Schizosaccharomyces pombe: one gene and its partners. The gene in region 2 interacts genetically with the main gene of each other region. Each region holds a gene or a part of one and is shown on either strand. Other genes may lie near its edges.

Region 1 (3,759 bases), 1.6 Mb from region 2:
GGCTTTGAGTACTTCCGTTGAAAATCAAATCCAACAACTGCTTTTGCATAGTCAATCTCTAAAAATTTAGCTGCTGCCAAAGCACAACGTTTTCTACAATGATATGCTCCATATGGCAACATTGAAGGGACATATAAATCGATGTTTCCGTATGCATTTTTAGGAACAATGTTCGCAACAACCGGTTTCGGAGTGTACAACTGCGTAGCTTCTTCATCATACAAGGGTAATACTTTATCTCCATTCTTAACATGTTTTAAAGGCTGAGCTCCTGGCTTTATGATACGACCCTTACGATACCAATGTTCAGCAGAGAAGCCGTTGCTAACATATTTGCGTGGATACACTAATTCGACCCCATTTTTTGTGTTGATTCTTCCACAGGATTTACCAGTTTTAATAGCCTGGTTCTTTTTTAAATGCCTCTCCAAAACAAAAAGCGGGTGATCTTTCAAATCTTGAATATTCCTCGGAATTCCTTCTGATTGTTCAAGCCTTAGTAATTCCGCATCCTCTATAGCATCCATGTCATTATAAAAATCCCTTGGTTTTCCAATTTTAGAAAATATTCTATTCATCCAAGCCTTTCCAAAGGGAAAAATCTCGACTCTATTCTTTAATATTTTATAATAATGTAAACAATATTTTCGGGTAACATCTTTTACATACCCATTAGCCTCAATAGCAAATACATAAGTCATTTGATTTAGATGGTCACTGGAAGCCGGTTCAAACCTTCTGTACTTGCCAATGACACTAGCATCACCAAATGGATCAACACAAACCCATTTTTGCATAGCTTTATTAAAAGCCTCTACCCAAAAAACCGGTTTGGGAGAATCAATTACCTTTAGTTTTGTATCTTCTGTAACAATATCTGAGGCATCAAGATGTGAAAGATTTGAAAAAGAAGGCTGTATGATTTTCCTACGTTTGCGAAATCTAGAAGTAATGTGTGCACTTTCAGAGATATCGCTAGATGAATCATTTTCCATTTGCTGAGACCATGCCGGAACAATTTCATGACTACTTGCTTCATTTATGGCACCTTTAAATCGAAAAGATAAAACTTGTAGTGAAAAAACTAGTCTAGTTGGAACGTTTAAATTACGAAGAATAGATGCAAATAACTGGGTTCCATAATCTCTACTACCGGAAAGCAATTTTGAGTTTTTACAAAACTCCTCAAGGGATAAAGATTCAGAGATGAGGCTATTGTTTTGTAGTAAACCATAATTCGGTTTTCTTAATCCATTGGTAGTGATTTTATATTTCCGTTTCCAAACTTCGACGAGTCCAGCCAACCCGTGTAGGAAAGTTTTGTTCCGAATCATTTGTGACTTTTGAGAAGAGGGATGAAGCGAGACACGTATACCAGGAGGAATATATTTCACAAGATAATTTAGTCTATTGTCATCGCACCAAGTGTTTCGTGTGCAAAGATGATAAGTCAAACAGAGTAAGTGTAACTGATGAATTTGAAGACGAATCTTTCTATCAACGGAAGTGATCTTTAAGCGGCTACGTTTTTCAACCGTTCGATCAACGGTGGCCTCAACGTCTCCAAAATCATGAGTTGGTCGTTCTTGAATCAACCTTTCACCATGTACGGCGGATGAAAGGAGCGAAGAATTTAAAATAGGTGCAGTTTTAATATCATTATTAGGGAGACCAAGATCTAAATCTAACCATTCTTCATCATCACTATAGGTATTATCTTCGTCACTCATCATAGCATTTATATTTGATAGAAGCCAACTTTTTTCAGTATTAAGACTCGTTGCGCCCTTATTCTATTATATTATTTTAAAAAATGAAACATAAAAAACCAATGAAACGTTTTTGAGATGCGTAACTCTTTAAAAACACTAGGGAGCACGAGTTTATAAAGATACTTCAATTAAGTAGAATATAAGAAAATGTTTTGACCATTAATAATGCACGTAACACATGAGAAAAAGATTTGTATTTATTGATACGAAAAGTAGTTCATAACGTTAAGAAAAACAAATTCCTTTTCTATTAAAATCATAGCTAACGTTGAATTTGTTTATATACAGCGTTGTAGTGAAACCAAAAATCGCCGTTAGAGTACATTATATTTTAAGTTAGAAGTTTGCGTTGCATTTTGGTAAACGGCATATCTTTGAGGTAGCGATATGGCTACTTTGCAACTTCAATCTTTAGCATTGCACAGGCTATTCGAATTTCAAATTGCCTTTTTCAAGGGTTTACTATCTCTATCCTATATAAATTTCGTTAAATTTCTTTTTATCAAGAATTGAGGCTCGTTTATCCGGTCATAACTTTTGGTAGCTTTAAAAGGTCTCTTTGTTTAGGATAGAATAGAATTTGCTACCGTTCTCTCACGAGAGCTTAAAGATGGTAGGCACTTCTTCTTTAGATATTTCAATGAGCGGTAGCTCAAGTTCGGACGCAGAACAATGGGAGAAACAGACAAAAAGTGTCCATATCGATAATTCGTAAGTAACTGAAATAGTTGCTTCGCTGAACGTTACTGATGGTTACTAATCATTGCTTGTACAGAGACGTGAATTCGCTGATTTTAGATTATTTGGTGATTCAAGGTGACGAAGAAGCCGCAAAAACATTTGCTGAAGAAGCTCAAATTACGGATTATTATATTCCTCCATATGTAAAAGAACGTTTAGAGATTTGCGAGTTAATTAAATCAGGTTCAATTAACTCTGCAATATGCAAACTGAATGAATTGGAGCCAGAGGTATGCTGAAAGCAAGTAAGGATTACGAGTTAACAGCTACATAGATTTTGGACACAAATTCAGAACTTCTGTTTGAATTATTACGATTGAGATTGCTTGAATTGATACGAGAAGTTGTTGAAGAGAAAGATACCTCTGATTTAGCGGTAGAAAGATGTTTAAACTTTGCACATGAAAATTTAGCACCTTTAGCACCCTCAAATCAAAAGTTTTTGAATTCTTTAGAGTTGACAATGTCGCTTTTATGTTTTCCTCCTTCTTCCTACAGCCCTGCCTTGAAAAATGTTTTGAATTACAGCCAACGTGAGCGTGTTGCAAACCTTGCCAACGTTAGTATATTGAAGTCTCAAGGATTATCAAATGAGTCTAGGTTGTTGTCTTTGGTAAATTTTGAGCGCTGGTGTGAAAAAGAGGCACAAAGGAATTCGATTGAAGTGCAGAAATTTGTGCCCAAAGCATCCATAAAATGATTACTTTTTACGACCTTCCTCAGTTTATGCATTTATGTCTGTTACATCCATTTAACATAAGAACTTTTTTCGTATTGTTCTCACTAATGATAATTAAATTATTGAACTCACAAATGATAATATGACATTCAATTAACAAAGCCAATTTTTGTTGTTAAGCAACATCGTATAGTATCAAGTTACTGACAAGCAAAGCAAACACAACTTTTCCTTTTAAAAGTAAGGAGGGAATTTAATGGGTTATTAAATTAGCAATATTTTTTCTATGGCGAATAATTTGATTTTCTTCATTGGTAATCATAGATAACTGTAGCGAGATGCCTTTCGTTCTCGCAAATTAAGATTGTTTAGGCTAAAAAAAAAGGTTAGAATTGGATATAAACAAAAGTGTTCCAAAACTGAAAACTTACCAAATTTCAAAATTGAGCGTTTGTCGCTTTTCCAAAAAACTAGAAGTTTCCAACAACATATTGATATTAGGGCCTTGTAATGTTTCGGCTTGCAAGGTTTGTAAAAGGAATTCCTTAAATTCTTGGCTAATTAATC
Region 2 (3,540 bases):
TATTATGAGCAAAGATGCCAACATTCATGCTGGCATTCGTACTCCTATCTCTAGTTTCTCTGACTACGATGATGATGTTGATTGTGGTTTCAAAATCATTGAGGCTCGTGAAATTGATGATTTGGGGATTGATGGTATCGTCAAAAAGATTCGTGACAGAGTTGGTGATAATTTGGTATATTTATCCATTGATATTGATGTGCTTGATCCTGCATTTGCACCCGCTACGGGTACTCCTGAAACTGGCGGTTGGTCATCTAGAGAAATGAGAGCAATTTTACGTGGTTTGCAAGGTCTGAAATTCGTAGGCGCTGACCTTGTCGAAGTAGCTCCCGCTTACGATGTTGCAGAAATAACATCCTTGGCTGGTGCGCAATTGTTATTTGACATTGTATCTATGATGGTGAAATATCCTTTGGTAAAAGAGGCTGATTTATCTCGTTACATGCCAATACATAAATAATTGAAATAACTGGTTTATTTAATATTCAATATTTATATCGACATCATAGATACAGATACAGAAATGAGCATGTTCAAAAAAAATCATTATTCATTATATTATTAACATATCATACGCAAGTATATCGTTAGAGACAGCTGAGCGTCATCTATCTTGTATCACATAAAGTAAAAGACAAATGTAGCAGAAACGGGTTTTCTTAACCACCCAAGAGTGTTTTGTAAATATTTGCAAATGAACCCATTAAAACATCTCATCTCCCTTTTGTTATTTTTGCCATCATTCACCAAAAAATCACTTCTTTTATATAAGCGTAATGTGACGAAAATGCTTCGTCTGAGTGGACGTAGACATTCTATTCAGAAATGATTGAAAAGATACTATAAATTGGTAAACCAAAAATAAAAAGAAGCGTACATAAAATGTAAAAGACCAACCAGGAATAAACTTATCGAATTCAACTTTTTACTTTTAAATATATAATACATCTGTCCTTCAGTGTTTCTTCGGCCTAACAGGCTTTGTATAATCGGCAAGTTTTGACGTTTTCCAGAGATACCATGCTGCTGCAGTACGAAAAGGTGCACATATTTCACTATGCTTAAGAACATACATCTTGGTTGGAATTTTTGGTAATCGGTGTAGATATCGGTATCCATTACGAATACTCAAATCGTCAGCTGGCATAACATCATCACGATTCAACGAAAAGATGAGTAACATTTCTACTGTCCATCTTCCGATTCCTTTAATCTGAGTAAGTCGTTCTATCAATTCTTCATTTGAGAGCCTTTCAGCTTCTTCTTTAGTAGGAATCAAACCGCTGATTGTTGCCTCAGCAATGCTTTTTAATGAATCAATTTTACGAGCTGAAAATCCACAGGCACGCATTATTTCAAAATCCATATCACGAATTTCCTCTGGTGTTGGAAATTGGCCATTGTTAGAAATACTTTTAAAGCGATTGAAAATTGCGTTAGCAGCTTTACTATGCAATTGTTGAGATGCTACCGCACGAATTAATTCTTCATAAGGCTCTTTTTTCTCCATACTTCGATTGGGTCGATAATTACCAACGAGCTTCACGAGCCGTTTCCAATTCTCATCCAATCCAGAAAGATGGATTTCTGCTTTTGTGAGTGAAGTGACTATCTCTTCTTTCTCTTCAATGTCCAAAGTCATAATAGCAAAGATTCAATTGATCAAAAATTTATCACTCATTATGTGCTTTTGACTAAACGGTAAGGGTTTTCATTCCTTAGGAATTGCACTGCAATTCGTTATTTATGTAAGCAAGTCCTAAGCTAAAAAAAAGGAATCTTGAAGCAAATTCAACATTCTTAGATGTAATTTGAAACTTCAATTAAATTTTCATCTGGATCGCGAAAATAAATAGAGAGGATAACTCCTTCAGCTCCAGCCCTTGTAATAGGACCTTCTTCTATGAGAACATTTTGCTTTTTTAAGTGAGCAATGACTTGCTCTAAGGGTGTTTTAGCTATTAGGCAAATATCATTTGACCCAGGAGTCAGTATGTGTGATTTTGGGTCAATCTCATTACCCTTTTGATGCAAGTTGATTTTTTATGACCGAAACCGAGTGCCTTGCGATTGTTTCCAAATGCGATAACCGACATTCCTAATGTGCGCTCATAGAACTCACAGGTGGCTTCTACGTCTTGGACAGTGAAAACAATATGGTGGAAACGATCAATTTATATAATATCTTTTTCCATTAGTTAGTATCAAAGATCTTTTATAGATGTAAAATGTTGTAAAGGAGAGTCAGAGGAAACTAACCACTTCCGTTAAACAAGTAACAACTCTTCGACCTTAGAGTATATGACAGATTAAAGAAATATTGGGCGTTCAATAAGGCATAAAATGGATAAAACGATGGAATAGCTATAAAGAAAGCATAGTGTTTTAAGAATTATTCATCCACCTTACTAAGCTTACTTTCTCTAATTAGCATTGACGTTGAACATAAAGAAGCTTTGCAGTTGTCTTCATAATACAATTGAAGTAACTATACGCCTTAATTTACAATGACAGAAGTATGGAGATGAATATTGTTATATAATCTTAACACGTATAAAATGGATAAATGCGCTATGAAGGGAATGGGATAAACATTAAGTCTTAATTTGTAAAACAGTAGATTAGTAACTGGAATTGTTCTCAATATACCTTTTATAGCATTTCAAAAGTAACTTCAAAGATAAAAAATATCACAAAAGTTATCAAACTCCAACTTTGAGGAAGCTTTTGATAGCTTAAGGGTATGCTTTTGAATTTAAAACATTACTTTTGTTAAATCTCCATTGCGAGATTTTGTCGAATATTTCATCCGGATCACAATTATCTAAACTGTTCTACGTGACTTTTAGCGCTAAAGTCATATTCTATGTATTACGAATCTTTATTGATCAATGAAGCTTCTTAAAGCCGTTATAAGTTGATTTATCAACCATTTCAAAGCTTCTGGTGAAGATTTTGGCCCGACATTATGTGTAGCTCCCGGTATGATGCCGCTTAAGGAACTATTAGAAGTTGTAGGACGAATTGATTCGCGAAATCGGTTCAGTAATTGTGCTTTATCAGTTGATGGCGAGACGAACTCGTCCCTTTCCGACATAAGCAGTATCAACTGACTATGTGCTGTGGAGCCGGAGATTTCTTTGAGATTACCAAAAGTTTTAGCGAAATCATCGGCGCTCAGGTCAGAGGAGAAAAAGTCATCATTTCCGCGGACATCTGTCAAGTCAATGCATCGATTTGCAGATGTCGGAACTTCACCAAAAAAATTCTCTACCTTGCTTCTAGGTAAAACATCATTTCCTAGTCCTTTGTCAAGATATTCTGCTTTAACCCAGTCAACCAATTCCTTTGTTTTTTCTTTCCCGTTAAATTGATACGCGGCTTCTCTATCCGATACTGGAGCTTGTGCTATTCCGGCGATTAAGTAGTTTGGAAGAATGGACTGTGTAAGATAGTATAGTACATTCTGCGATCCCGTGGAATGTCCCATCAAAACGATTTTGCGAGTAGAAAAGTCCGCGCCTCCAATGTGCAAAA
Region 3 (3,759 bases), 2.4 Mb from region 2:
TTAAAATTTGTGTTTGCCAAGGATAAGTTAGCCAAGCGTAAAATTCAGAGTTGTGGTTAGAATTTATAATTCCTGATAAAACAGCTCCCTCAGTTAATATTGCTTCAAGCAAAGTAGTGGATGAGCACCCGTAACGCATTGTGACCAAACACCCAGATTTACCAATGCCAGCAGTAGCATAAACTGTATTACAATTGATGTCTTCATCCAACAAAGTGTTATGCCTTGATGAGGAATACACAAAATCCCACATTGGAGCGCAAGCAATTAAGCTACCAAAAAAGGACATAGGCGATACCGAAACATCATACACTAATGTATCAGAACAGTCACCACAAAAAACAATGTATGGATAACAAGGTAGTATCAAATTTCCTAAAGAAGATCCAGTCTTTCCAATTAAATTAATATCAATAGACAAAATAGAGTAACGAATGCGATACAAATCTCCATTTTCGTAGGTTAAATAGCAACAATTCGGAGTTTCGTTATCATTTGCAATAGACAATGGATAATTATGTGAACCGCTGCATGGAAGATCGGTCTGTAAAAATTTTAGATCCCCACATTCTATCTGTGGGACAGAAAGCAGACAAATCTTTGTCTCCAATAATACTAAAAAATGATCAGGAATATTGGAGCAAGGGATAATATGGGAAGCAAGAGAAAATTCGGATGGAACCGGTATTGAGAAGGTTATGTAAGAACTAGCATCAGAAAAGGTTTCCGTCTTAGACCACCTATAAACATTGATTCTAGGATTCGAATTTGAATCTAGAAAAAGACAAACATACGTAACACAAGACGAAGAGGATCTTTTTGGAGGTACAAATATGGTATGAAGTATTATTCCATCGATAGAAAGTTGAGCGAAGACTTGCTTGCTTAAGGAAGGATGATGTGAAAAGAAAAATACAATATCACCAGCAAAAGAATTAGTAGCCCACAAGGAAGCATTTGGGCATAAATCAATTGATTTTCCTAATTGTTCATGGTTGTACATTCGAGTATCAAGAACGAATTCATCTCTAATACGAATCGTCGGAAACGCTTTTTCTGGTGTTTTGACGAGCTGCAACAAGTAGCATTTTCCGTTTTCAGTAGCAATTAAAATATTCGCTATTGAATGTCTACCTGATTCTGACTGAAGGAAATGGCTTGATAACAAAGCAACAGACCTCGTTCTTGCAGGCAACGTGAATCTTTCAAAAAGTAGTAAATCACCAGATCGCTTTAAACTCACAGAAGCTACAGAGGAAAAAGATCCAAGTAAAAGGAGAGGAGCACCATCATATTCGGAAACATGAAAAGCCCAGGTGAATACGTTTGAATGATGAATAATTTCTGCCATGAATTCACAAAGTTAAACGCTTGGAACCAATTTAATTTGATTAGAGTCAAATTTTGATAGAATAGAAAAAGCTATTAGTTAATCGTATGCATCAAAGAAATTAGCAAATACGGAAAAAACATTAAAATCAATGAAAATAGATATGTACAGGTTTAAATATATATAACGCCCTTATTTAGAAGATAGATCCTTACGAGTTCCTCCAAATGTGAAAGGATTATTGACAACCAACCATGGCTTGTTCGAGTTAATATGTTGGGTTGTGTTGAATGTATGTAAGAATATCCATCGTTGGAATTTCGAGAACCTAAGGAACACAAAAATTAAGATAACAATTAATATGCGATATATGATTTTGATTTCTAGTTAACAAATATACGATTTGGTTTCATCTTTAGAGAAGTGTTGTCTGACCTACGACAGTTTGAATTTTCTACGGCCATTTAAAATCAATAGCTTAATGATGTCTTTTTTACCTACGTGAAAGAATTATCAACAGGGTGCTAATGTATACATTCAGAATCCAAAGAAAAAGGCTGTGAAAATGCAAGTAGGCACTTTTTGTTTTCCTAATTAAGAAATCGAAAACAAAAATTAGTACTTCCAAATAGATTTACATTGTTTTAATGTTGTCAATTGTCATTTTGAATGCTTAATTCAACAGATATAGACGGAAGTAAAATTTGAAGTATTAAAGAGTGCATAAAACTATTCCTCCTAAATATTTCGTAACATTGCTAAGTTATTGAATATATAGACCCATGCTTAAGTACGTGTCCTAGATGCGCTTAAGGTATTTAGTTACAATAATATATTTGCTTCATCTGATACTACCCTCAACCGCAATGTTTTTATCTTATTATATCGAAATTCATATTTTATTTCGCTAAAATTGTTTCTGATTTACTTTCCGCTTTCTCATTTCCGTGCAGTAAACTTGGATACGGTAATTATATATGGAGCTTAGTGTCTTATTGTTTAATAACGAGTCTTAGCTTTCAAATATTTTATTGGCTGCCGTTGCCGAATAGTGTTACCTGAGAAGGAATATCTTCCAATTACCTAGAGTTTCGAAATAACGTTGTTTTCGCTAGGCTATCTTGTGTTGCGCTACAGTAACACCACTTGCCAAACCTAAACAAATACTAGCCGACCGTACCATTCTCAGCTCGCCACTACCAACCTCTAAAGAACCATTTATACGGGGCAATTGAAATCGACTAACTCCAATTGTATAGTTAAATTGGAGTATTTTGGTTTGTATTTGCAACCAAAGGTTTTTAAACTAGTATCTCTTTCGGAGAAGCTTTTTTGCCTCTGCAAAAGTTCCTTTCTCGAATTGGTTTTTTGAGGAAAAGCAAGTTAATAAACTAATTATATTATATATAATTAGCAATTTTATAAAAAAAATAAAAAAATAGCCCTGATTGCTGGCAACTGTGAGCTGAACATTGGTTAATCGGTCCATCTTTTTTTAAATATTTTACATCGCTACTTTTAAGTGCTTGACACTTGCATTTAATAGCTACTTTCTTTCCTTCATAAAAATTCCTTTTTTTTCCTTTAGTTTTCCGGTTAATTCCTTACGAAATTTTTTTCGTACGCTTCCCTTTTTTACTCTGATAATTCTTTGAAGCAATGTCTGCTCTTTCGACCTTAAAAAAGCGCCTTGCTGCGTGTAACCGAGCATCCCAATACAAGTTGGAAACAAGCTTAAACCCTATGCCTACATTTCGTTTGCTACGCAATACGAAATGGTCATGGACACATTTGCAATATGTGTTTCTAGCAGGTAATTTGATTTTTGCTTGTATTGTCATTGAATCTCCTGGATTCTGGGGGAAATTTGGCATTGCCTGTCTTTTGGCCATTGCGTTGACCGTTCCTTTAACACGCCAAATTTTTTTTCCTGCCATTGTTATCATCACCTGGGCAATTTTATTTTACTCTTGTAGGTTTATTCCAGAACGCTGGCGTCCACCCATATGGGTTCGTGTTTTACCCACACTTGAAAATATTCTTTATGGCTCTAATCTTTCTAGTCTTCTCTCGAAAACCACGCATAGCATCCTTGATATTTTGGCCTGGGTTCCATATGGAGTCATGCATTATTCGGCTCCTTTTATCATTTCATTTATTCTTTTCATCTTTGCACCTCCTGGAACTCTTCCAGTTTGGGCTCGAACTTTTGGTTATATGAATTTATTTGGTGTTCTTATCCAAATGGCTTTCCCCTGTTCTCCTCCTTGGTATGAAAATATGTATGGTTTAGAACCTGCCACGTATGCAGTACGTGGCTCTCCTGGTGGATTGGCCCGTATTGATGCTCTCTTCGGCACTAGCATTTACACTGATGGTTTTTCTAACTCTCCGGTTGTTTTTGGTGCCTTTCCATCTCTTCACGCTGG

What was found.
Region 1: mutations in mag1 (region 2) and rhp41 are lethal when combined (synthetic lethality), as found in Schizosaccharomyces pombe (one study listed by BioGRID).
Region 3: of mag1 (region 2) and mms1, a mutation in one rescues a mutant of the other (synthetic rescue), as found in Schizosaccharomyces pombe (one study listed by BioGRID).

The regions. Positions count from the first base shown.
Region 1 is NC_003424.3:4,594,057-4,597,815, forward strand, and holds the start of rhp41 (DNA repair protein Rhp41), read right to left. Parts: upstream 2,040-3,759; 5' UTR 1,734-2,039; coding exon 1-1,733. Other genes in the region: gid8 (ubiquitin ligase complex subunit protein), read left to right, coding at 2,383-2,483, 2,548-2,743, 2,788-3,213; tea5 (serine/threonine protein kinase Ppk2), read right to left, coding at 3,511-3,565, 3,624-3,759. UniProt on the Schizosaccharomyces pombe protein: Has a role in the nucleotide excision repair (NER) pathway. Acts in both transcription-coupled repair (TCR) which removes damage from the transcribed strand of active genes and in global genome repair (GGR) which removes damage in untranscribed DNA.
Region 2 is NC_003424.3:2,953,180-2,956,719, forward strand, and holds mag1 (DNA-3-methyladenine glycosylase Mag1), read right to left. Parts: upstream 1,686-3,540; 5' UTR 1,646-1,685; coding exon 959-1,645; 3' UTR 549-958; downstream 1-548. Other genes in the region: SPOM_SPAPB24D3.03 (agmatinase), read left to right, coding at 1-463; SPOM_SPAPB24D3.06C (uncharacterized protein), read right to left, coding at 2,885-3,540. UniProt on the Schizosaccharomyces pombe protein: Hydrolysis of the deoxyribose N-glycosidic bond to excise 3-methyladenine or 7-methyladenine from the damaged DNA polymer formed by alkylation lesions. Can release ethylated and propylated bases from DNA in addition to 3-methyladenine.
Region 3 is NC_003424.3:595,927-599,685, forward strand, and holds the start of mms1 (E3 ubiquitin ligase complex subunit Mms1), read right to left. Parts: upstream 1,601-3,759; 5' UTR 1,352-1,600; coding exon 1-1,351. Other genes in the region: inositol phosphorylceramide synthase Aur1, read left to right, coding at 2,990-3,759.